3 linked regions of the Lepisosteus oculatus genome follow. The protein of the gene in region 2 interacts with the protein of the main gene of each other region in a pairwise test. Links are inferred from orthologs where the notes say so. Each region holds a gene or a part of one and is shown on either strand. Other genes may lie near its edges. The genes, in order: shcbp1, shc1 and insrb.

Region 1 (7,789 bases), on a different chromosome or scaffold from region 2:
CACTAGAATACATTATGGTCAGGTTTCCTTTATTGCTACTGACACCTAATTGGGCTGTCATCACCTGCTAAAGATTGGCAAAGAATTACCAGTCTAAAAGTCAAAATATATTACTAAAGTTTTAAATCACTGAAAGACACAAAATAAGACTTTATCCAATCTTTCTCTCAATATTTAACCCCTTTATCCAATAAAGGGTCATGGGGGAGCTGGAGCCTATCCTGGCAAGCAATGGGTGCAAGGCGGGATACTCCCTGGACAGGACGCTAGTTGTTCTGTTGATATACAGGCATTATTGAATTGTCGTGTTAACAACTGAATGAGACAGAAAGACAGAACAAACGTAAATAGACAGAACTCTGCCATCAGCCACAAATGTCAGATTTTAAAATCAGACATTATAATAATAATAATAATAATAATGATAATAATAATAATAATAATAATTATTATTATTATTATTATTATTATTATTATTATTATTATTATTACTTTTCTTTATTGTACTCCTTTTGTTGTTGTTGTTGTTGAAGTAAAATTCATCCTTGGCTAGAAATCTGTTAAAATAGGATGACATGAGCCTGATCAGTAGTGCAGTGGGAGTGGTATTCTGTGACTCACTCCCTGCAGCTGTCTTCTTCCTGTGTTACAAGTGTCATTCCACAAAACCATTGTGCAGGACACCTGCTGGCTCTCTGATGCTTTTTCTGAGTCTCCGGACTAACATGCAGCCAATATTGTGGATAAAAGGATTGACCTAGTCTTCAAATGGACACTGTGGAGGGGAATTTCTAATGGTGTGTGTTAACGCCAAATCCCATCACAAGGCTGAAATGTATGTGAAAGGTGTGACAATGATGAGCATGCTTTTTGCGAGGTCAAAACTTACTGAGATAAATTCACAAAGTACTGTAGTTTATTCCAAAAACCTTTTTAGACCCATTTTCATCCATTCATCCATTTTCTAAAGCCCCTTTACATAACACAGTATCGCAGTGGAGTTGGAACCTATCCTTTAAGCAATAGGCACAAGCCAGGGTACACCCTGGATGGAACGCCAGTTAATTTACCCTATAGACTGTGGAAGGAAACCAGAGTACCTAGACAAAACGTATTAAAAACATAGGTTTCCATTAGACAAACTCCATTCAGAAAACACCCTAGAAATTTAACCAAGGGCCCCAGCACTGCAAGGTACCAATGCTAACCACTGTGCCACTTGCCACCCTAGCCACATGTTTCTATTTTTAAAGAATTTATATTTTTCTAATTTAAGTCATTTATTATACTTCAAATATTTTAATGTTAATGAAATATTGCAATATTTAAATTAATACCTGTCAATCTGTTCTGTAGACCTGCTGGATTGTGGCTCTTCAGTACCAGAGTTGGCCACCTAGAGCCTAGTCAGCATACCCTTAGAAGGTGAGAGGAAATTGAGAGAACATGCAAACTCTAGTAAAAGTAATGAGTCAGGAATCCAACTCAGCAGCCAAGAGCTGTAAAGCAGTAATATAAATATCTGCCACTCAGCTGTTCTGCTTATGAGCAAAATAATTAGCAAATATTGTTCTTACTACTACTTTTATTACTATTTCATTGTAATTTTTACATCACACTAAAGCTGACAAAATCAATAATGTCCTATTTTATAAATTGCCTTTCATATTGTTTTTCAGGCTGCTTATCCGGTATTGTTACAGCAATCTGCAAAAATATAACACTTGTTAACGTTGTTAGCATTGTAAAAATAATCTTCATACAGATTAGCATAATCTTTTATTAACGTTGATCTTATATGGTAAAATTGTGTTTTTACTGTTTGCTGGTTTTAAAAACGTCTCTCTATTGCCATCTGCCTGAGAAATGAGAGAAGTTCAGCAGGGACCATTTCCAATAGTTTTTAACAGAGGATTCTTTGGACCAGAGGATACAAAGCTGCCACTCTGCTGTCTCTGGGAATGGCTCAAAAATGCATCGTTCTGTTCTTGGGTGGCTATATGAAGACCCATTGCCACACATCCAGAATAGTTCCACTCTGCTGCTTCAGACAATCAAATTAGAAGTAAAATGTTGCAAAGTCTGTGGGGTCCGCTTCATGCTGATTAATAAATTACTGATTCCTAATTGCAATCAAAACATCTCTGAAATGACAGTGTGCAGACTGAGTTGTTACACTGAATGAAATTCACCCATAATAAGCACATGAATCATTTATTTAGCCACGGAAAATAATTTTATAGATTTATTGTGGTACTTTCTGTCATCACACTGGTTCTTGTATCAGCTTCCTTTTGGGTTAATATTTAGGATAAGCCTAGAACTACAGTAGGCTGGAAGTAAGAGCTTGGCTAGTTGGGAAGGGACTGGGGATAGAGCTGAATAAGGATCAGTATAAAGTTTAACACTTTGGCGTGTGTTCGGGTTTTTGTTATATTACAGTTATATTTAGTTTTCCATTAAACTAGGTTTTGTGGGATAGAAATAAAGATTAGGCAGGAGCGAGGATGACTTTTGTTTTGTTTTGTTTTAAAAGTTAGTTTCAAGGGTTAGGATTATTATTCATGTTACAAAATTGGCTAGGAATTCAAATTGATATTACAAATGATTTTACATTGGTAATATCAGACCAATGATTGCTTTTTGGAGGTCCTATATTAAATTAAACTTAATTCAATAGATAAGTTTATTTGTCCTACTACAGCTCCACCACCAGTAAAAAGAATGTTCTTGCTGACATTCTAAACTGATAGAAGTAAAATGGATTGGAGAAGTAAAACAGCTACAGTATTTCTGCTATCCTCTGTGCAGTTAAAGCTGAATATCTGAACATTTTAAGTTCTGAACAGAGACGATTACGAATGGACCTGATACAAGTATTCAAAATCTTCAAGGTCTTCGCCAAAGTCTATGTCAAATCTAAATCAACAATATTCCAACACTACCCAGAGACGACAAGTGGAAAATATGTGAGAGTGCATTTAAAACAGACAATAGGAGGCAGTGCTCCACACAAAAGGTTGTGGTGTTATCAAATAAGCTACCTGTTATCTTGTTGAAGCCGATATCTTGGCTTCCTTCCAAAAAAACAGCTCTATGACATCTGTGTAACAAAGGAACAGATAAAGGTTTATCCCATGCTGAAAGGGAAAGAAGTGATGCACCTGAAGAAGGTTCCACAATGATTGCTCTGTGTTGTGTCTCTTTTCTTTTTTTTTATTCTGCCATCCACTTGAAATTCTTGTAACACACTAGATGAGCAGAATTGCCTCCTCTTGCTTATGTTCTTATGTATCATGTGGCACAACTGTTTTTGGTTGTGTTGAGGCCACAAAATTGTACAGCTCCAGGTTTCTTCTCCAGAAAAGCTTTTTCTGAAAAGCGCCAGCAACACCATTCATCTTCAGGCATCTCTCAGCAGCTGCCTTCTACCTTTGGAGCATGGCTAGAAAAAAAACACAAGTTCAGCTCTTCCCCTGCAGCAGCAGTAATGTAACTCACGTGTGAACATGAAGAAGGGCGTCCTCAGGGTTTCTACTGATGGGTTCATTATGAATCTTCTTTCCTTGACTGAAAGGTTTCTTTAGAAAAATGTGTTTTGCATTGATTTTTCAACTACAGTCTGCATGAAAGATTATTAAAGATCAAGATACACTTAAAGGCAACAATACCCTCCACTACAGCCTCTCAGTGTCAGAAGTAATGGAAAAATCTTGAGTTTATTGAACTGCCATAACCCAAAAGCCAATACTTTTACATCTGCAGCTGTCACGCCCTCTGCAGCCAGAGGGCGCTCCTACTCTGTTCTGTCCCTAGTTTCCTATGCTTTGCTGTCCTTCCGGTGTCTCTCTTTCTTGGGCTATATATTTCCGGGTTTCTCATTCACCTTCGCTCAGCATTGATGTTCGGATGTCCTGAGACCCGCCTAGCATCCAGGTGGCCCCACATCCGCTGCCTGAGGGCATTGGTTTCTATACGACTCCTGAACTGCTGAGCCTGGGGTAATCTCCCATTCCGCTGCTACGCATATGGGTCTTTTTCTGTTCTCCCGCCTCTCCACGGTTCATCCCTTCCGACATCTGTGACAGCAGCCCTTTAGCACTAAATGAAATGTGGAGATTTCAATATGATATAGATAGCTCTCATGCAGCAGTTCACAATTACTGACCTGACAGAATACTGATAATTTGGTTTGACCATTTCCCTTGTATTTTTTTTATTTATTTTTTTTTGAGGGGGGGGGGGGGGGGGATATTTTAATAGCACTGCCCCTGCATGGTTCATATAAATAAAGTTGCTTCTGTTAGTGCAGAATTAAAGGTAAAAAAGACTTATGCATGAATTACATATATCCAACCACAACACATAAAACATTTTTGTTGAATACAGTTAAATATATAATGTTTTATTTCAAATACGGGTTCATAAATATATTTAACTTTTATGTTGTTGACATAAGTTATATTAATTAATTTATTAGATCGAATTAATACTTATTAATTTTTAGTCATTCATTAGTAATTCGCTTTTGCCTGCTATAATAATTCTGTTAACACCTCATCTCCTGTTTGTAATGTATTACAGTCCTGTGTAACTGCAGTTCTTGTACGCCATTTTGGCTCTTTAGAGCCGTGCTCTTGTTTTGTTTTTTAGTCAATGACGTCATGAGCCTAACCAGAAAAGGAAATTGCGTTTTCATGTTGTTTTCTCATTGGTCAGTCTTCTCTTAACCGGGGGAATTTTGAATTTGTTTGCAGGAGGAGCAAAGTATAGGATGTGTTTTAATGGTTTCTTTCACTAAAGTTTGTTAGACGGTTGCACACTTTTTAAAAGTAACTTAGACTCGCTTTAACCTTAACAAGTACAATGGCTGAAGATATCGCCTCTGCAAGTACAATGCAGGCTGAAACAAACGCTGGCATTCCAGAGTTGCAAATTAAGCCTGTAGCAAAATGTGACGAGGGAGCGGCTACGTCTCTAATACAAAATGAAATACAAGAAAAGATCGATTTGGAAACAGAAGTTGAAATGGAACCTGCTGGAATCGATCAGATGCCTGGTGAAATTCTGTATATAAAGCAAGGTAGGCCGTTGTTTGTTGTTCAGATATAAAATGTACAGCCTAAGATAATTTATAGAGTGAGAGGAGCGTCTCCTGTTTTTCGCTGAGGTTACCTTAGTAGTAATTGCAACATTCCAAAGTTAAAATCGATCATATTTAAACAGGTAAAGAGGTATTACCGAAGCTATTGCAGTTACTAATGCAATCAAATTCCGATTTTTTTTCAGCTCTGTATTTGAATATCTTTCGTTGTTAGCAACGAGCTTAAAAGCAATTTTGTGTATTACTGTCGGTCTAAGTTAAACTTTCAAACTTGAGGATTTGTCCAGAAACAGATCTCCCTTTGTTTAGAGTTTTTTGGTGAACCTCCTTGTTTTGATTGAAGGGAGAAGCACCGTTAATTTGGTCTAGATAAAAACTCTGAATTACATAGTGGGCATTCAAATACGACAAAGTGATGTTAACTTGACGCTGTTTAACCAAAAGATTCCCTTAAATCTTTCAAGTATTAAGTTTGATTGTTTTGTGTTTTCTTAGTTCTTTTTCAGGAAAATGATGAAGATGAAGATACCGAGGAAGATGATGACAGTTGTAGTGATTATGGCAGCAGTGACAAGCCAGGCACAGTTTTACAGAGGGCAGAATGCACAGGAAATGTTGCTTTCCCTGACATCTTCCAGACTAACCAGCTTCTGTTTTATGAGAGGTTTAAAGCTTATCAAGATTACATGCTAGGTAATTGCTTTCTATATTGACTGTTCTCACTTTGCACTATTGTTCCAAATTTCCCTTTGGTCTTTACCAATCATGGCCTCCTAATCCCCATCTAAGAATTGGCTTCATTACTCTGTTCTCCCCACTGAGAGCTGATGTGGGTTGAGTATATTGTGTGCACTTTGGCTGCTGTCGCATCATCTGGATGGGTGCTACACATTGGTGGTGGTGGAGGGGAGTCCCCACTATCTGTAAAGCTCTTTGAGTGGAGTGGCCAGATAAATGCTATATAAGTGTAAGGTACTATGCATATTTCTTCAGAAACCTTTTCATAAAATTGAGGGATGCACTGACAGATGTTGATACTTTATTTCAGGATTGCTTACAATCCATCCTTTATGAAAACCATGAAAAGGTCTCTTTGTTCTTAAAGGTCAAAACGGCACAGTTTTGGTCAGCAGATACTCACATTGGTTTAAAAATATTTAATCTTTATGAATACAGAGTTGTGTGGCACAGTGATATGGCACACAGTGTTGCTGCGTTTTCACAGATATTTGGTTCTGGAGTGGTGTGCTGACGGTTCTTTGTTTCAAAGGAGTTTCCTCCGGTCTTCCAAAGGCATGCTGAATTGGCATTTGTAAATTGCTCCACATACTTGCGCATATGTGTCCCGTGATGCACTGTGGTGCTGTGTGGGATGTAGCCCTGTCTTGTGCTTACAGGATGTTCTGGTTTGCTGTGACCCTCACCAGTAATACTTGGATGTCTGATAATGGATAGACAGATTGCAGAAATGAGTCCTAACAATGTGTGTTTTGGTTTCCCTGAAGGTGACTGTAAAACCTCAGAAGTTAGAGATTTTACTGCAGACTACTTGGAGAAGGTTCTGGAGCCCTGTGGCTGGCGTGCTGTGTGGAGCACAGAAGTGTTTGATGTACTGGTTGAGGTATGTCTGAATGCACCATCGTGGGCACCTTCTTCACCTTTGTTTATTGCAAAAGTACAGAGAGCTTGAGGCAATAGAACTGAAAGTCAACTCTTGTAACATCTTGTACAAAGCACTGACAGGAAAACAAATTCAGGCATTTTAGGTGTCTCTTAGAAGGGTTAGAATCTTTCAATACTATTGACCATTTGGGGCACAACTAAATTTACTTGCAGTTAAAGTAAGGTAATTCTAATTTGTCTTGTTTTTGATACACTTAGCTGCATTGTTTGCCACTCACGATTGGAGTGCAATTCAAAAATAGTTGTTTGGAATGTGCTACAGATCTATGGTTTCATGAGATCAGTAATGCTTTTTCTAAAAGAAGAAAATGGTAATGTTTCTCCCATTCCCAAAAAAATCACTCAACCTTATCTTGATTTTCATTTTATAATTTCATTTTTACTTTAATCATGCCTTCCTTGTCACAAGATGCTTTTCTTAAATCAGTGCACTGGTTTGTTCTGTTTTTAGATCTTTTTATGCATTCAGTTAGCTTTATATTTTAAAAAAGTCCGGGGAACAATTGGGAGGTGTTATGCAATGTTGCTAAAAGCTTTTTAATTTAATTCTGAGATTGGTGACTCAGAAGTCCTTTCTAACTGTCATTGCAGGTGGTGGATGTGGAGTGTTCCAGTCTGAAAGCCAGGGTGGAGCTGGTTCAGCCTCTCCTGTGTGAGAGAAAAGGCTGTGAGCTCACAGAGGAGTCCATGAGGGACCTGCTGGAGGCAAAAGAACATCAAGTGCCTTTGCAGGAACTCAGTGTTGTGTTTGATGAATCAGGGGAATTCGATCAAACAGCACTTGCTTTAGAGCACTTAAGGTAAATTATTTATGCATATTTAGAACTTGTTTTACTTAGCTGGAGAAAATCCAGACAGTCCTGACTTTGTTGTTCTGTACAGAGGTTTGAAGTGGAGAATGATGAATGTGGTTCTTGGAAAAGTGAAAGTTAATGAAAGCCTTGTGAATTTCCATGAAAACTTTTGTTGTATCTACAAACTGTTACCCCTTTTTGTAACCAG
Region 2 (7,348 bases):
GGTCAGTGCAGACAGAGGCCTGTCTGTCTCGATGATTAAGCTGTGGCAGTCATGCACTGTCTCCGTTATGCTCAGTGCGGACAGAGGCCTGTCCCAGCCTGCTTGCTGAGATAAACCGACATGTTCTGCCTGTGAGCCTGCTATGCATTATGTGTTCAGAGCAGGCAGAAGCCTGTGTCTCTCAGAGATCGGGCTGGTGTAGGTCGGGCCTGTCTCTCTCAGTGAGCACAGGCTGGCGTAGGGCTGGCCCGTCTCTCTCAGTGAGCACAGGCTGGCGTAGGGCTGGCCCGTCTCTCTCAGTGAGCACAGGCTGGTGTAGGGCTGGCCCGTCTCCCTCAGTGAGCACAGTCACTCTCTGCAGGGCAATTCCACACATACCTCCCCCTTGCCTGGACATGCCTGATGACAGGCACTGCTCAAGCACATGTGACTTTCTCTTTAGTTTTCCTTGTGTTCTTCTGTGTACCTGTCGGTCTACGTGAGTCAACAGAGTAGAGTCTGATCTGCCCGTTTTCAGTGCTGGAAATTTTCAGCAGCCCCTGAACACACCTGCAGGCTCTGTTTGTCCCTCAGCCTCTCGCCTGTCCCAGTGAGAGATCTGTTTGTCCCTCAGCCTCTCGCCTGTCCCAGGGAGAGATATACCGTCCCTCAGCTTGTTCCTTTTTTTCTATTTTGGAGAAATCTGATCCCGGCCACAGGGATTGTGATGGCCCAGAGGTCACCTGTCCATCGCAGTTACCGTGGACAGCGGTGTCCAGTCCTGGTTCCTGGATGGGGCTGGTGCGTCTGTGGGCTCTTCTCGGTCCCTCTAACGCGGTATCGCCTGAGGCTGTTGAACTGGTCTCATTAGGCCAGCGAGGGGCTGATGGGGCTGGTTCAGAGCGGGGCTGGGAGAAGACCCTCCAGCACCGCGATGGGAGACGCCGGGTCTGCAGCGCTCGGCTTCTCCGTCTTGCTGGATTCGCGTGGCCGCCTCCCCCCCCCCCCCCCCCCGGACCCAGCCAGTCGCCGATCAACCGGGACGGGGCGCGGCGCGGTGTCCCGGTCTGACGGCGCTGTGGTTGTTTTTGGTGGCCGCAGGTCTCGGCTGCCAGGGCCTGGGGACGGCGCGGCCGGATGGACTATGTGGTAAGAGCTCTGGTGCACCTGGTGGAGGTCGGGCACGGGCTGAAGGTGGAGGGGTGCTGTCCGCTGTGGGGGTGGTGGAGCCCGTCGTCTCTCTGAGCTCTTCTGTCCCTCTGTTCACTTACGCCAGGGGTCTCGGGCTCGGCTCCTGGAGGGCTGGATCTCTGCTCCCGCCAGGGGGGGCCAGTTAGAGATCTGGGGTCGCAGCTGATCTCTCAAAACGTTCGCTTCCTTAAGGGCACAGTCACCTGTGGAGCGTCTCGGGACTAACAATTATTCGACTAATAGCTGGAACAGCAGCCAGGAGACCCTGGACCTCCAGGATCTGGGTTTGAGACCCGGCGATTACCCAGGGCCGTGCCGTGTTGAGACGGATGGCACAACCCAAAGCACAACGGGGAGCAGGCACCAACACAGCAGTGTATAGCTGTAGCCCAGGGCTCCTTCAAGTCCACTCCGGCTGGGTTTGTAGGTCCTCTTAGGTCGTCCACAGCTGCTGATTTCTTTAAGTGGGTGGGAGGGGGGAGCAGTTAAATGGGATGGATTAGGCCTTAAGAAGGCTCATTTAGACCACTCTGCGTGCTGGTGGTCAGTTGCTGTTGTCTTGTGGCCGACAGCCTGGCGTGGTGGTCTGAGGCTCTGGACACCTGGCCGTAGGGTCAAGTCGGCTGTCGTTCCCTCAAGCAAAGGTCCAGCACCCAGAAGTGGCTCTCGATTTATCTCTCTACAGACGTCATTGCCATTCTGTGTGAAAGCATCTGAAGAACGAGCCATCTTATTTTGAGGATTTAGGAGGCATTTTGGACTGTTGCCCTTAAGGAGTGAATTGGGGATTCCTTGGAGAGCTGTCTGTTGTCATGGGGTTACCGGCTCCAGAGACCTTGGAATGGCAGCCGTTAATTTAGTGAAATGTGGCCATAAGGGTATATTATATGTTGACAAGTGACAGGTTCCTCTTTCACATACAGGCCCGTGGATGACGTTGACTTCCACGTGGATGGGAATGAGCTTCATTAATTCGGTAGTCCAGTACTATTCAACCTGCGGCCCCTCCAGTCCGCTCCATCTCCATTTCACAGCTTAGCTGCTGCCAGCCCCTCGGTTATGCAGGATCGATATCGGAATGAAAGAGCCGGTTATGTCGAAGTCGTGGAGCGGAGCGAATTGGAGGGTTAGGTAGCCCTGGCCAAGTCGTTGTCGTTGTAGAAAAATGTCCTGTGTGGAAAATAATTGTTATTCATCTACTCCGATGGAAGCAAAGAGACCAGGCCCTCCAGGAACTGAGCCCTATTGTAAATGCTAGTTTGCAGAGAAAATTAATTCTCTTTTCTCTTGAACTAAACTTCTCCTGCACTACTTCATCTGCCTCAGGTGAGGGATTTTGTGAATCGGCAGTACTACGCACTCCTGTACTATGTTAGTATAGTCATTCCCAGCTCCTCGGTTTTTAGTTTGATTCCTTTGCGCACATTTATGCTTTATGTCCCTGGCTTCTCCGTAGAACATACCAAAGCAGTGTGTGCTTGTCTGCTCCTAACATTGCGTACTAACACTCCTGCTGCTGCTCCTACTGCACCTTGTACTAATCAGAACAGCAATCAGGGTGCGGAAAATGTGATTTGGAATATGTTCACCCCTTGAGAAATGCCTGATTGCAGCTGGTTTCCAAGCACTTCAGCAGCCGCTGAATGATTCAGAACTGAATCCAGCTTCTGAAAGGCTCCCTGTCCCGTGTGCGTCGCTGCGCAGGGCCTGACGTGGGCGAGCACGGATGCCTGAAAGTGTCGTGACCCCTCATTAACAAGGCAGGAAGTTCCTCCTCCCCACCCTGGCCCCCATAAATTGAGGGGTCTCCAAACCCCAGCAGGGCACCTTGAATCTTCTGTTTTTTTTTTTTTTTACAGCTTCTCAAGCTATAAAAACAGCTTTTTTATTTAGACTTCCCAAGTTATTCTTCAGTTAAGCAAGAAATGTGTTCAGCTAAGGAAGCTGGGTGTAAGGGTCTTCAAATTTGAGCTACAAAGGGTCCCTAGATCACTTAGCACAGCACCTGCTGAACTGATCGCCACTGAAACTCTCCGGGGCTGCAGAAGTGGGTGGCGTAGTTATTTATAAACCCTACTGGACGGGAGCTGTCCGTGGCCAGGGCTGGAGACCCCTGCTGCAGACGATCAGGACCCTGACCGGACAGACTCCCGATAGGAGTGCAAGCCGAGTTTCCGAGGATCATGTCCGTGGAGCAGCGAGGGGCAGAAACCCGTCAGGAAGGAGGACTTTGGACTCGGGAGAGAAGGAGGGGCGCTTGGTCTGTGTCTCGCTGGCACTCCCTGTCTAGGGCCAGCCCGTCGTCTGCCTGATTTCCTTTGCTCTCTGCCCCGCACTTCGCCCATTGCTGTATATACGATACCCCCCCCCTCTCTCTCAGTGCAGTGTTAATGTACTGGAGTGTCCAGTCAGTCAGTGTGTCTGTATGAACCCCTCTCTCTCAGTGCAGTGTTAATGTACTGGAGTGTCCAGTCAGTGTGTCTGTATGAACCCCTCTCTCAGTGCAGTGTTAATGTACTGGAGTGTCCAGTCAGTCAGTGTGTCAGTATGAACCCCTCTCTCTCAGTGCAGTGTTCATGTACTGGAGTGTCCAGTCAGTGTGTCTGTATGAACCCCTCTCTCAGTGCAGTGTTAATGTACTGGAGTGTCCAGTCAGTCAGTGTGTCAGTATGAACCCCTCTCTCTCAGTGCAGTGTTCATGTACTGGAGTGTCCAGTCAGTGTGTCTGTATTAACCCCTCTCTCTCTCAGTGCAGTGTTCATGTACTGGAGTGTCCAGTCAGTCAGTGTGTCTGTATGAACCCCTCTCTCTCTCAGTGCAGTGTTAATGTACTGGAGTGTCCAGTCAGTGTGTCTGTATGAACCCCTCTCTCTCAGTGCAGTGTTAATGTACTGGAGTGTCCAGTCAGTGTGTCTGTATGAACCCCTCTCTCTCTCAGTGCAGTGTTAATGTACTGGAGTGTCCAGTCAGTGTGTCTGTATGAACCCCTCTCTCTCAGTGCAGTGTTAATGTACTGGAGTGTCCAGTCAGTGTGTCTGTATGAACCCCTCTCTCTCAGTGCAGTGTTCATGTACTGGAGTGTCCAGTCAGTGTGTCTGTATGAACCCCTCTCTCTCAGTGCAGTGTTAATGTACTGGAGTGTCCAGTCAGTGTGTCTGTATTAACCCCTCTCTCTCAGTGCAGTGTTAATGTACTGGAGTGTCCAGTCAGTCAGTGTGTCTGTATGAACCCCTCTCTCTCAGTGCAGTGTTAATGTACTGGAGTGTCCAGTCAGTGTGTCTGTATGAACCCCTCTCTCTCAGTGCAGTGTTAATGTACTGGAGTGTCCAGTCAGTCAGTGTGTCTGTATGAACCCCTCTCTCTCAGTGCAGTGTTAATGTACTGGAGTGTCCAGTCAGTGTGTCTGTATGAACCCCTCTCTCTCAGTGCAGTGTTAATGTACTGGAGTGTCCAGTCAGTGTGTGTGTATTAACCCCTCTGTCTCAGTGCAGTGTTAATGTACTGGAGTGTCCAGTCAGTCAGTGTGTCTGTATTAACCCCTCTCTCACTCTCTGCCAGGCAGGAGTGGGCAGTCATTTTATGTGCATTAGACCCTCTCAGGGCTCTCGAACGGCTCGCTGTTAATGTAGGAAGTGCTGTGTGCAGCTGGTCAGCCAGTCAATGTCTGTTTATTACCCCTCCCATCTGGGACAGAGTGGAAGTGTAGTCAGGTTACAGGGGAGGAGTGGATGGCGATGGGGGTGGGGCGAGCTCGCTGTGTTTCCCTGTCTCTTTTCAAACACGTGCTCCCTCCCTCCCTCCTTCCTGTGTGTGTCTGTGCACGCCTGTGCTTTCAAGACGGGCAGCGGGGAGAGAGAGAGAGGGAGCGTCTGTGTCCCTGTGTGTGTGTGCGCGTGCCTCTCCGAGAGGACACGCCTCCAGGACGGCGAGGAGGAGACCGAGGGGGAGAGACCTGCTCCTCACCGGAGACAGAAGGACTCGTTTCTATAAGGAGCAGTTTCCATCTCCGTGCCCGGCTCGCGTTTGCTGTTTGCTCGTCTCCTTTTTTTTTCCCACCTCCGTTGACGGCTTTGTGCTCTGCCAGCATCGATCTGGCCGGCTGAGCCTGGCTGTGCTGAAGAGAAGAGGGGGTGGGGGTGCATTGGGGGGGGGGAGGCCCCAAAAACCAGGGAGCAGGGGGGAAAAACTGCATATAGACGCCCGGGGAAATCGAGGGCCCGGTGATGTAGCATCAAGAGCTGGAGCCGGGTGGAAAAGAGGAGGTGGAAGGTTTGTCCGGCTGCCCTGTTATCCGTTCTGACTTCAGGAAGAGGATAAAAGGAATAAAGGGGGAAGGAGTTCGGAAGTGCGGGAAAAGGAATCTTGCCTTGTGTCTCCTCCGCCTGTTTTTCCTCACGGCCGGCTTCCAGGAGGAAGCCCGCTTTGGAAGCAACTCCAGGAGTTTTCACGGGAGCTCACGTTTTCCTGGACGGAAGGGGAGGATACTGGGATTTGCTCCCTGTCCGCACCTGCCAGCGGACGAGAAGGAGAGAAGACGGAAGAAAGGGGAATAAAAGAAAAACCGTGGATTGCCAGTCGGAATTTGAAAGGAAAATTTAATCTGCAGCTAAACTGAGAATCTCCCATCTGCTTGAGCAGGCCAGGGGGTGAAAACTGTGAGAGAGCTGCACTCCATCAGCGTGCTGGGAATTTTGCAAAGTTTTTTTTGGTAGCAATGGTGTTGAAGGAGTTGTTGGATGTAGTATCCATAATGTTCATTGTGATTGAGCATTATGGATCCTTAATGTTGTGAATCTGTGATTGCTGTTCTACTAGCTGTTATTTCCCGATTAACATTACTGGGATTTGTGGGAATGGCTTCTCCTCTGCTCCTAGGGGTTTGAATCCCACTGTTTGTTTCGTGTCCGCAGCTGTCCTGTTCTGGAAAATCCGGAAGGAGCTGGTTTTTAATGGCACAGGCCCGGCCGCATATCCTGACAGTGATCAGCCGTGTCATTAATATTAATTAGCTGTAATGTTGCCTGTTGTAAAAAGGCGCAGCGGTGTGGAGCCCATGTCTGCCTATGGATCTGCCACTGTTGGCCTGGAAGTAGCCAGGTTGTGCTGACCGGCTCTAGGTGTTCCGGCTGTAACCTGACCCTCACGGTCGCAGTAGAGAGGCTGTAGGCCCCTCTCTCTCTCGCTGCGAATGCACGGGTAGGTTGTGCCGTTCCTAAAACGGGACCCCTCGAGAGCCGCTCCGGCGTGCTGGCGAGTTGGACTGCCGTCGGGTAGCCCTGTACGGTGCTGGATTGCATGGTGACGCCCCACGCGGGTCTCTCTGGAGAGTGACAGGGGCGCAGACCCACAAGGGCAAGAGCGTTCGACGGTACCATCCGCTGGCCAAGGAAAGCTGTCCGCGGTGACGGCATGGGGTTATATAGCGCCTTGCAGCGCTAAAGCACTTCCCTAACAAGCCAGCTCCCCTGTGAGCTGTCGAAATTTCTGTTTTCAGTAGTGTCCCTGCCCTGCGTTGGTCCTGCCCTCCTGATAACATTGAATTGCGGCTTGTTCCCCTCTCGTCTCGGATCTTGCAGTTCTCTGACTGGCGTTTGCTGGAAGGACCTTTTTTTCCTGCTCCAGGGGAGGTGAAAACATTTCTTGTGAACTCCGGTGTGTCGAAATGGCCATCGCTGACTCACAGTGAAGCCCACCTTCTTAGGCATTTGCGCTGAGTCATGGCAGGCTGTCGCTCATATCGGGATTGCTAGTGTCTGATCATATTCCCAGATGAGTCAATACCTCTCCTATTACTTCAGGTGGTTTGTTTTGTTTCTCCACACTCGCTACTGCAAGTCACACCAAAACTTTTCTGACAAAAGGCAAATTTCCAAACTGGGAACGTTCTCAACAGAGGGGAATGTGAGTTTCAGTACAGGGGAAGTTCATAAAAACTCCCTTCTTGGCACGAATCTGAGCTCCACCTGATAAAAAAAAAAATGCTGTGATAATACAGTTATAATAAAGAAAGTTCACGTACTCAGTCAAAGTTATTTTCTACAACTATTCTCTCTGTGTGCTCCTGAAACGTACAACATTAAATTTTCTGTGCATAGGTGTCTGATACATGACGGAGGTTCAGAATATTGTAGATATCGGGGTCACCTTTGCTCAAGAGTAAAGGCAGCAAGCTGTCTCG
Region 3 (7,992 bases), on a different chromosome or scaffold from region 2:
TAAAATAGCTGGTTTCTATTCTAACAACGCTCGTTTTGAGTGATAATCTTGACACAATATCGATTAATGATGCACAAACATGAAAACATCTCCAGACACGTATACTTCTATTATTGCCAATTTGGAACACGGGGTAGTAATCGATCTTTAGTTCAAAGTTTTTATTATAAAGTTATCTTTAGGGTTGGCTGCTTTGCCGACTCCTCTTTTAAAAGCTGGTTATTTTTAAACGAGAACCAGACACCTGTTAATTTTTTCTCCCCTCAATACTTGTTGAATCATTTAATGAAACGTTTTAAAAAGACTTTTGCATTCACCTGAAGTTGCACAAAAGCTGACTTTTACTCTCTATGGTTTTAAAATAAATCCAGCTTCAATAAAAACGTTGGGGGAAATTCATTTGCTGTGATTTTTTTGTATACATTTTCATCCGTTCACATCTAGATAGGATGGGTACTTCACACGACGGAAAAGTCAGCATTAGTCTTCCACTGTTTTTGGGTTGTGACCGACAGAACAGTATAGGTTATGAAATCGGTGTGTACAAGATTTTGTTTTTCTGTTTGAACAGCGGAACATAATGTCGTGATGTTCTAGGCTACCAAAATCTTTAAGTATCCTATTTGTGCGTGCATGCATTTATCAAGATATTTATCTAGAATCGCTTACTGCATACATCGACCTCTTGCTTTGCATATCAAATAAGTCGGAAAAGCAGATGAAAATTTAGTGTAGAAACTGTCATGACCCACACCAACTGCCCAGAGATACACTAAGCCCCCGCACAGAGTACTTTGTGTCAAAGTGCAGTGTATCAGCAGGGTGTCGGGAGTGGATGAAATGCATAAACAAAATGAACGCGGTTCTTCAAAACTTAGTGTGTGCGTGTGAGCTAATTATTTTATGACGGTAATCTTCGGTCAAATCTGTGCCTTATATAGACTTATATGGCTTATACCCTGACCAACAGGGGAAAAGGGTTAAGATTACCAACTGAAAATGGTGGTCTCTTTTACATTTTCTGCGCAGTTTTCTATATAATATACATTAAAATGCCATAATAAAAACACGACAAACTATTTGCTTTCCTACAATGCTCAGAAAAAAAAATAAGCACGCACCACATCTTGTGTATGCCCGGGTCACATGTAATCCTACAAAACACTGGACTTCTGAATCTCATTTGTTGCATTATTAGTTCAACGTGAACACAGGCCTAGGCGGACAGACGAGTCCCGGACCTTTAAGTTTAGAATCGCTGTCTATATCCCACCCTCTTCCCGCGACAAAGGCTAATCTAGCCTTCGGGCTCATGTATGCGCAAGCAGGCCTCAAAATATAATCGTATAATAATAATTCTCTAAAAAAAATATTTAAAAACTAAAAATGTTACAAAAAAAAACACTTAAAATTTGACTTATTCCGCCGTAAGAAAATGGTATTGGGAAATGTTCTCCCACCAAAAACCGCGTTTTAAAACGTTACGTAAATACTCAAATTAGGTGTAAACAATATATACATTTTGCATTTCTTACAATCTGAGCAGTTCCACAAAACACGAGGCCTATAAAAAACCCTCTAACGATTTAACTGATTTATGATATAAATAGCACATTTGTACACTGTCGCAGCGAAAGAGTTCCAACGCCATCCTTAAATGGAAAATAAAGCTTTGATTTACTTACTTTCTCCATCCGATATCCCGCAATTGCTTAAAACGCAGATAAAAGTAACGAAAGCAACCACCGGGGTGTCCAACCGCATTCTGACCCCAGTGATGTCCTTAAATCCACCAAAAAATGCCAGATTAAAAGGGGAAAAAATCCAAAAATTGAGTAAAACTTTTTCCTTTAATCGTTTATAAAATCAGAGATTCTTGCTTGAAAGCCGTTTTCATACACAACAAAAACAAAAAAACAAAAAAACAAAACCACACCACCCCCAAAAAGGGGGGTGAGGGAATATTTAAACGCGTTTTAATACTCAAAATATGTATTAACTTTTTTTGTTGTTTTACTACTTCGCCAGGTTAGATTTGCATCAAATAATGTGGTCTTGGGTTCTGACAGCACTTTGGCGAACCCAGAGCTTCATTTTAAATCAAGTGATACAAGTCGTCCACTTTCATCGGGTAAAGTTTGTTTGACAAAATCCTCCTTCAGTCGAGAAAATAATTCCCACCAGCAAACCGCTTTAATAAGGAGGTACCCTAAGGGGTAGCGAGTCGCTCATACCCACATAAAAGCTGGGGTTTCCTTCAAAAGGTTAAAAAAAGAAAATTCCTGGATTAGCTGTTGCTTTTCTGCAAGATGCAACTGTTTATTTTGACTTGCAAATACAAAGATCTTCTTTTATTTTTCTGTCCTTTTATAAAGCGTGGTATTCTCCTCCTCTCGCACTGTTGACATGAAAATTAAAAAAAAACGTTTAGTTTTTAATCCCCGGTTTCACTGTGTTTTATACACGATTATTTCCTCCCGAACCTCCCTCTCCTTCCCTGCCCTTTCCGTATCACAGGAAAATAGTGTTACAACGTCCAATAGAAAAATAAACATCACAGGAACTCCGCAGGAAATAATCCGAAAAAAATTGCTTTTCCCTTTCGGTAAAAACGTCCTTCCTCGCTCAGCTTCCTTTTCAACTCTTTGGCGAGTTTCCCAAAGAGTCTTAAAAAAAAACACGTCCCAAACAATGGAAATGTATGATAGTTACTTAACAGTACAAATAAAAAAAAAAAACACAACGCACGGTGCTTCTGGAGTGTGCAAAACTCCCCGCACTGGTTTTTTTCTCTTCTTCTGCTTCTGCTTCTTCGTCTTCGTCTTTTTGGGCTAATCTGAGCCCGGACAGGTTATTTTACCTTTCGTGGTTTTTTTTTTTGGAAAGCAGGCTGTAGAAAAGATTTTCGGACGACGGCGAAAAGCGCGACAGCAAGGTAAACACGCGTCGACAGCAAGCGAATCTGCGGAAAAAAAAGCTAAAAAACTTCTCTTTTCCCCCCCGAATCTGCAGTACCGCTCGTCCTCTCTCTCTCTCCGCTAAAGTTCCCCCTTTTTCAGTCTCTCAGTATCTCCCTGCCAGTAAACAAGAGCTGCCAGTCAGCTGGCGCAAGGCACGGCGCAAACTACGGACTGGATTTGACAGCCTAAAAAAAAAATACGACCTGGAGTCAGCAGAAACGAGTGGGAGTTGGGGGGGGGGGGGGGGTGAGGGGGTGTATGTTTAGTATGTTCAGGGGGGTGGAACCGCCGGGGAATGACATCAGTGCATCAGTGCAACCTGAACGCATGCTGTTTCATTAGCATAACCCCCCGGTAATTGCTCGACTTTCGTGGTGTGTTGAACGGCTGCCCCACTTGAAAAACAAAACGGAAACGGACCCGTCTCATCTTTGGGCAGGATATTGGGTTCCAAACATCCTATACTCATTCTAGCGCCCAGTTTGCATAGATTTAGCAAAGGTAATTGGCCATACGCTAGATAGTTAGTTGTTGTTTCTTATTTCTGTGGCTGAAAGTAATATATATGTGTGTGTGTGTTGATTCTCTGCTTTAACACCTATAAAAGAACAAGCAATAGATCTATTCCATGCTGAAAAGGGAAGAGAGAAAACACAACGTTTCGGCTGTGAAGGCTTTGTAGGCGAAACGTTGTGTGCTCTCTCTTCTCTTTTCAGCATGGAATAAACCTATTACTGATTCCTTTGCAGACCACGCAAGCTGACGCAGCTCCCCACCTGAACTACTTCCAAACCTATATTTCGGTTGTCAGTCCCATAGTGCCAACACTAGTCTATGTGCTGCAACAGGAGTAAGGCAGCTCTGTTCTCGGGACTGAACTCCATATTGCTGGGCACACTCGGGTCAGCAGGAGAGGGGCTCAGACCTGCAGATGAAAACACACACAAAGTGAACACTAAATGAGATAGGCGAGGCACTGTTTTTTAGTGCTGTGAAAATCCAGCAAATGATCGTGTGAGAAAGGGTCTGTGATGCGATCTTTGTTTTAACGCTAATTAAGAAGTGCCCGATCACTGTCACAGATAGCGTGGTAGAAAAGGGGTGTGCTGGGATTATCAGATTGTTGTTGCCAGGGGTGTGATCTTCTGCCAGTGGTACAGAAATGCTTGTGAAGATGGTTCTACCTGTCACGCACTTCCTTGTTTAAAAGTAATTCATTTATAGTGGGCTGGGAGGTGGCACCTGATCTGCCTGTAAGTAACACCTTTGTCTGCTGGAAGGTTAACGTCACCAAACATCTAATTGTGTGTCTGTATTTAAATGGGCTGTTGAAATACAAATCGTTAATAGCAGTCCGTGTTCCACTGTAGATTTGCTTTTATTGACAAAATAAGATTTATATCAGTAAGGTTCCTTCTTTCTGTTGGTGGATAAATATGCAACTGGCCCCTGCAGCAAGCTGTTTTTGAGTTCTGCAAAACAAGAGCGCTTCCACAATATCTGTCCCGTGTGTTTCTCATATGTGAGAGAAGAACTTTCCTGAAATAAAGCAGGTCACTGCGTGTCTGCTTTTGCGATCTTTTGGCTGAGAGGTTGCTTGAATAAGAGGCTGCTTTCCTTAAATAACTTTTTTTGCTGTTTACATGGGAGCTTGGAAAGGGGCTGGTTGGAAATGAAACATTTTTCCATTCTCATTATCGCGAGCCTCAGCTCTCTGGACTGTTTGTCTCAGCTGCTCCAATTGGCACAAAATAAATCTTCACCTGCAATGGGCAACACCACAAAACAACCCAGACCTACTCTCCACAGCCTGCAGGCTATACGCATCACTATTTCCCTTTTAACAAATAGATATTTTTTAAACTCAGTTGTCTGTCTGCCCTTTGACAGTCATCAGGAGTTTTTAAGCAAGTGACAACTTCACAAAGAACTAATTCTAGCTTTTGAGAGTTGTTCCAAATTTTAGTAGGTTTTAATGGCATTTCAAACCAATAGGCACCTGCTGCTACTTTTAATACCAACAACAGGGGAGAATAAAACTCACATTGTGGGTATCAAGATAATGATGGTGACAGCAGCATTATTTTCTTGTAAGCTGATTGTTAGAAATATGCTGGCCAGTATTGGCATGAGAGACCTCTGATTAAAAAACAGGTTGCTGTTGTAAGTAGTACTGTAGGGGGCACTCTTTAAGCTGACATGGTGCAGTCCTACAGATGAAATGCTGAACAGGGGTGCTGACTACATGGTCATTAACAATCCCATGATGCCGTTCAAGTGAGTAGGGGTAATTACTGGGGGTGCTGGTATAGAAGGACAGTCCATTGCCACAGAACGGGGTCCTGCATAGCAGTGGTGGCAGAGGTGCAGGTCCCCAAAACTTAAAAGTCTTTTGGGGTGAAAAACACTATATAAATGTAAATTAGCAGTGCAGATGTTGAACCTTTGTTCTAACCATAGTTTTTACAGTATATGCATGCTAAGTGTGGTATCTTACTGAGCCTTTATTTTATTTTTTTTACTTTTCATGGAAATCTGAAGGGTGCTATTTTCTTTTTTTTTTGCATTCTACCAATCTGGAATTAGATTCCTGCTGCAGTCCTCTGTACAGCACCCGTTGGGGCTGTGATGTCGGGACACTCCTCTGAAACTCGCCCTTGTCAGAGACATTTGCCTTTTTGCACCTCGGCAGCCCCGACTCGAACCCGATGCGAACGGTCTGTTTCGGGAGGCCCCCCGAAATAGTGCCTCTGCTGTTTGAGCCACTTAGGAGTCCTGCTCTTTATTAACGCTGCTCACTCCGCGGCAGGGCTTGCCTTTTCTCATGTCCTTCCATATGATTCCAGTCTGGTTAAATGTCTGTTTGTCAGGATCCGAAAGAATGTTCTCACGCCTTGAGGCCATTAAACACGAGACATCCTTCAACCACTTCCGTTGGGAGCTAGTAACAATCCCCTGGGCACAGGTAACACTTGGCAGCAACACCCACTTCACACTGAGACCAACCTCACGTAATCACCCTAACCCTTTGTGTGCCAAGTGGTGATGAAATAACAAGGGAACATCTGCATTCTGATCCAGCCCGACAGCAGTTTGAGCAAGCATTTGTTTTTTGCTCCGTTTTAGAAGTGATTCAGACAAGACCAGCTAGTCTTCCTGGAGGGTAACGATCGATACACCTCCTGTACTGAACATCCCAGGGTAAGAATGCTGAGCGCAAGCTTTGAATTTGAGAGATACATTTACTAAACCACCACATCGCAACAACAGGGCTCACGTCTTTTCTCCTGTACAAGAGGCAAAAGGCATACAGTTGAAAAGGCATGTTTTAAAGATACGTGCATTGTGTCAGCTTAGAAGAATGATGGACAGTAGTGAAAACACCATTTACCCAGTTCCTGACATAACAGCAGATAATGGTAGACATTGTGTACAAGCTTATTGTCTTTAGTTACCTGCTCCTATAATCACTACAGTGCAATAACAGAATGCAGCTTTGTTTCTGTTTCAAAATAAACAGGAGTGTGCAATTATTCCTAAAGTCCGCTGTGCGTGTGCCATGGGTATCTGAAGGGCACCGCAACAATACCTGAAAGTCAAGGACAGGGTGGCTGTGAGCTCACCAGGAGGTTTCCCTCGTCATTGTGTCAGGGACGGCAGGAGCTTGATTCATCACGCCGCCTGTCAAAAGAGGACGTGCCACCGTCTCCGTTTAAAGCCTCCACGTTAGGACAAATAATGGAGAGTACACAATTTTCTTTCAAAGCGGGAAGGCTCAGTTCGCGAGTTGTATAATTATGACCCACAGATCGACGTGATAATTGGAGGCCACAGTCTTTTGACTTACATTATTTGCAGCTGTTTTTGGACATAACACTGATTTCCCAACCGTCTGTGATGATGATGATGATGATGATAATTATTATGAGTAATAATAATAATAATAATAATAATAATAATAATAATAATAATGTGATTTGTACTATTTTGAATTGAATAATGCCCGGGCTTTGTCTTCTGAAATTTTAAAAGATCTGACGTACTTTTTTGTGTTTAAACTTTCTTCTCCTGCATCTATAACCTCGCAGGGCAGTTTCCGCTGATGTGCCGACAGCTCCTGAAAGATCTGTGCAGATCCTTTTCACCTGGGAGTGCACAGCCAGGCCTCCGTGTTCCCCTTACCGCAGTAAGTCCCACCACCAAGAGGTGTCAGTACAAGACGCAGCACAGCAGGCGTGTGGAGTGGAAGAAGATAAATCATAGCAATTGAGCTGGGAATAACAGAATGGGGTTAAGTAAGGTTAGCTAAAAAAAGACAATTCTCGGCCTCAGAAATTATCGTGCTGACTTGGGGGCTGGGCAGCTATGAAGGGACACAGGCTGTCTCTGACAGACGGCATTCTTTCTCTCCTTCTTGTGCGGCCTTGTCTTGTGATCATGAGAGTTACAGCAGACAGGGGTCCAACTGCAGGGCCGGTATGTTGAAAGGAGAGAGGCTGTGGATGTGCACAACACAAAGCACTGTCCTCAGCCCCACTGCCTTTCTAAATCTGACCAGACGTGCATGGTGTGAGCTCACTGAGGGCACTGGGTCATTCATGGATGAGGAGCCACACGAGCAGCATAGGAGAGCCTTCACTGAATATACCTAGGCCCGAGTCATGATACTGCAAAGATCTATCATACCTGCTGGGGTAGGAATTTGGAAAGAATTGCTTGCTACTGGGAACAATTCAGCGCTAATATCCATCCCTTTTCTAAATGCTGCTTGCGATTCAGGGTTGCCGGGGAGGCGGAGCCTATCCTGGCAAGCAACAGGTGCAAACCAAGGTACAGCCTGGACAGGACACCGGGCCGTATGACAAACACACACACAAACAATCACAACAGGGCTCATTTCCGCAGAAGCCAATGAACTCACCAGCATGTTTCAGGACTGAGGGAGGAAACCAGAGCACCCAGAGGAGAAAACACAGGAAGAACATGCAGACTCCACACAGACAGCACCTCAGGTCTGGAATTGAACCCAGGG

Evidence for each region.
Region 1: the proteins of shc1 (region 2) and shcbp1 interact in a two-hybrid assay, tested with the Homo sapiens proteins (2 studies listed by BioGRID, with this or other methods). The link is inferred for Lepisosteus oculatus from reciprocal best matches to the Homo sapiens genes SHC1 and SHCBP1.
Region 3: the proteins of shc1 (region 2) and insrb interact in a two-hybrid assay, tested with the Homo sapiens proteins (2 studies listed by BioGRID and IntAct). The link is inferred for Lepisosteus oculatus from reciprocal best matches to the Homo sapiens genes SHC1 and INSR.

Annotation. Positions count from the first base shown.
Region 1 is NC_090715.1:6,687,583-6,695,371, reverse strand, and holds the start of shcbp1 (SHC SH2 domain-binding protein 1), read left to right. Parts: upstream 1-4,724; 5' UTR 4,725-4,866; coding exon 4,867-5,083; intron 5,084-5,599; coding exon 5,600-5,797; intron 5,798-6,609; coding exon 6,610-6,725; intron 6,726-7,378; coding exon 7,379-7,587; intron 7,588-7,789. UniProt on the Homo sapiens protein: May play a role in signaling pathways governing cellular proliferation, cell growth and differentiation. May be a component of a novel signaling pathway downstream of Shc. Acts as a positive regulator of FGF signaling in neural progenitor cells.
Region 2 is NC_090722.1:5,526,391-5,533,738, forward strand, and holds the start of shc1 (SHC-transforming protein 1), read left to right. Parts: upstream 1-4,246; 5' UTR 4,247-7,348. UniProt on the Homo sapiens protein: Signaling adapter that couples activated growth factor receptors to signaling pathways. Participates in a signaling cascade initiated by activated KIT and KITLG/SCF.
Region 3 is NC_090724.1:6,042,538-6,050,529, reverse strand, and holds the start of insrb (insulin receptor b), read right to left. Parts: upstream 3,070-7,992; 5' UTR 1,765-3,069; coding exon 1,686-1,764; intron 1-1,685. UniProt on the Homo sapiens protein: Receptor tyrosine kinase which mediates the pleiotropic actions of insulin.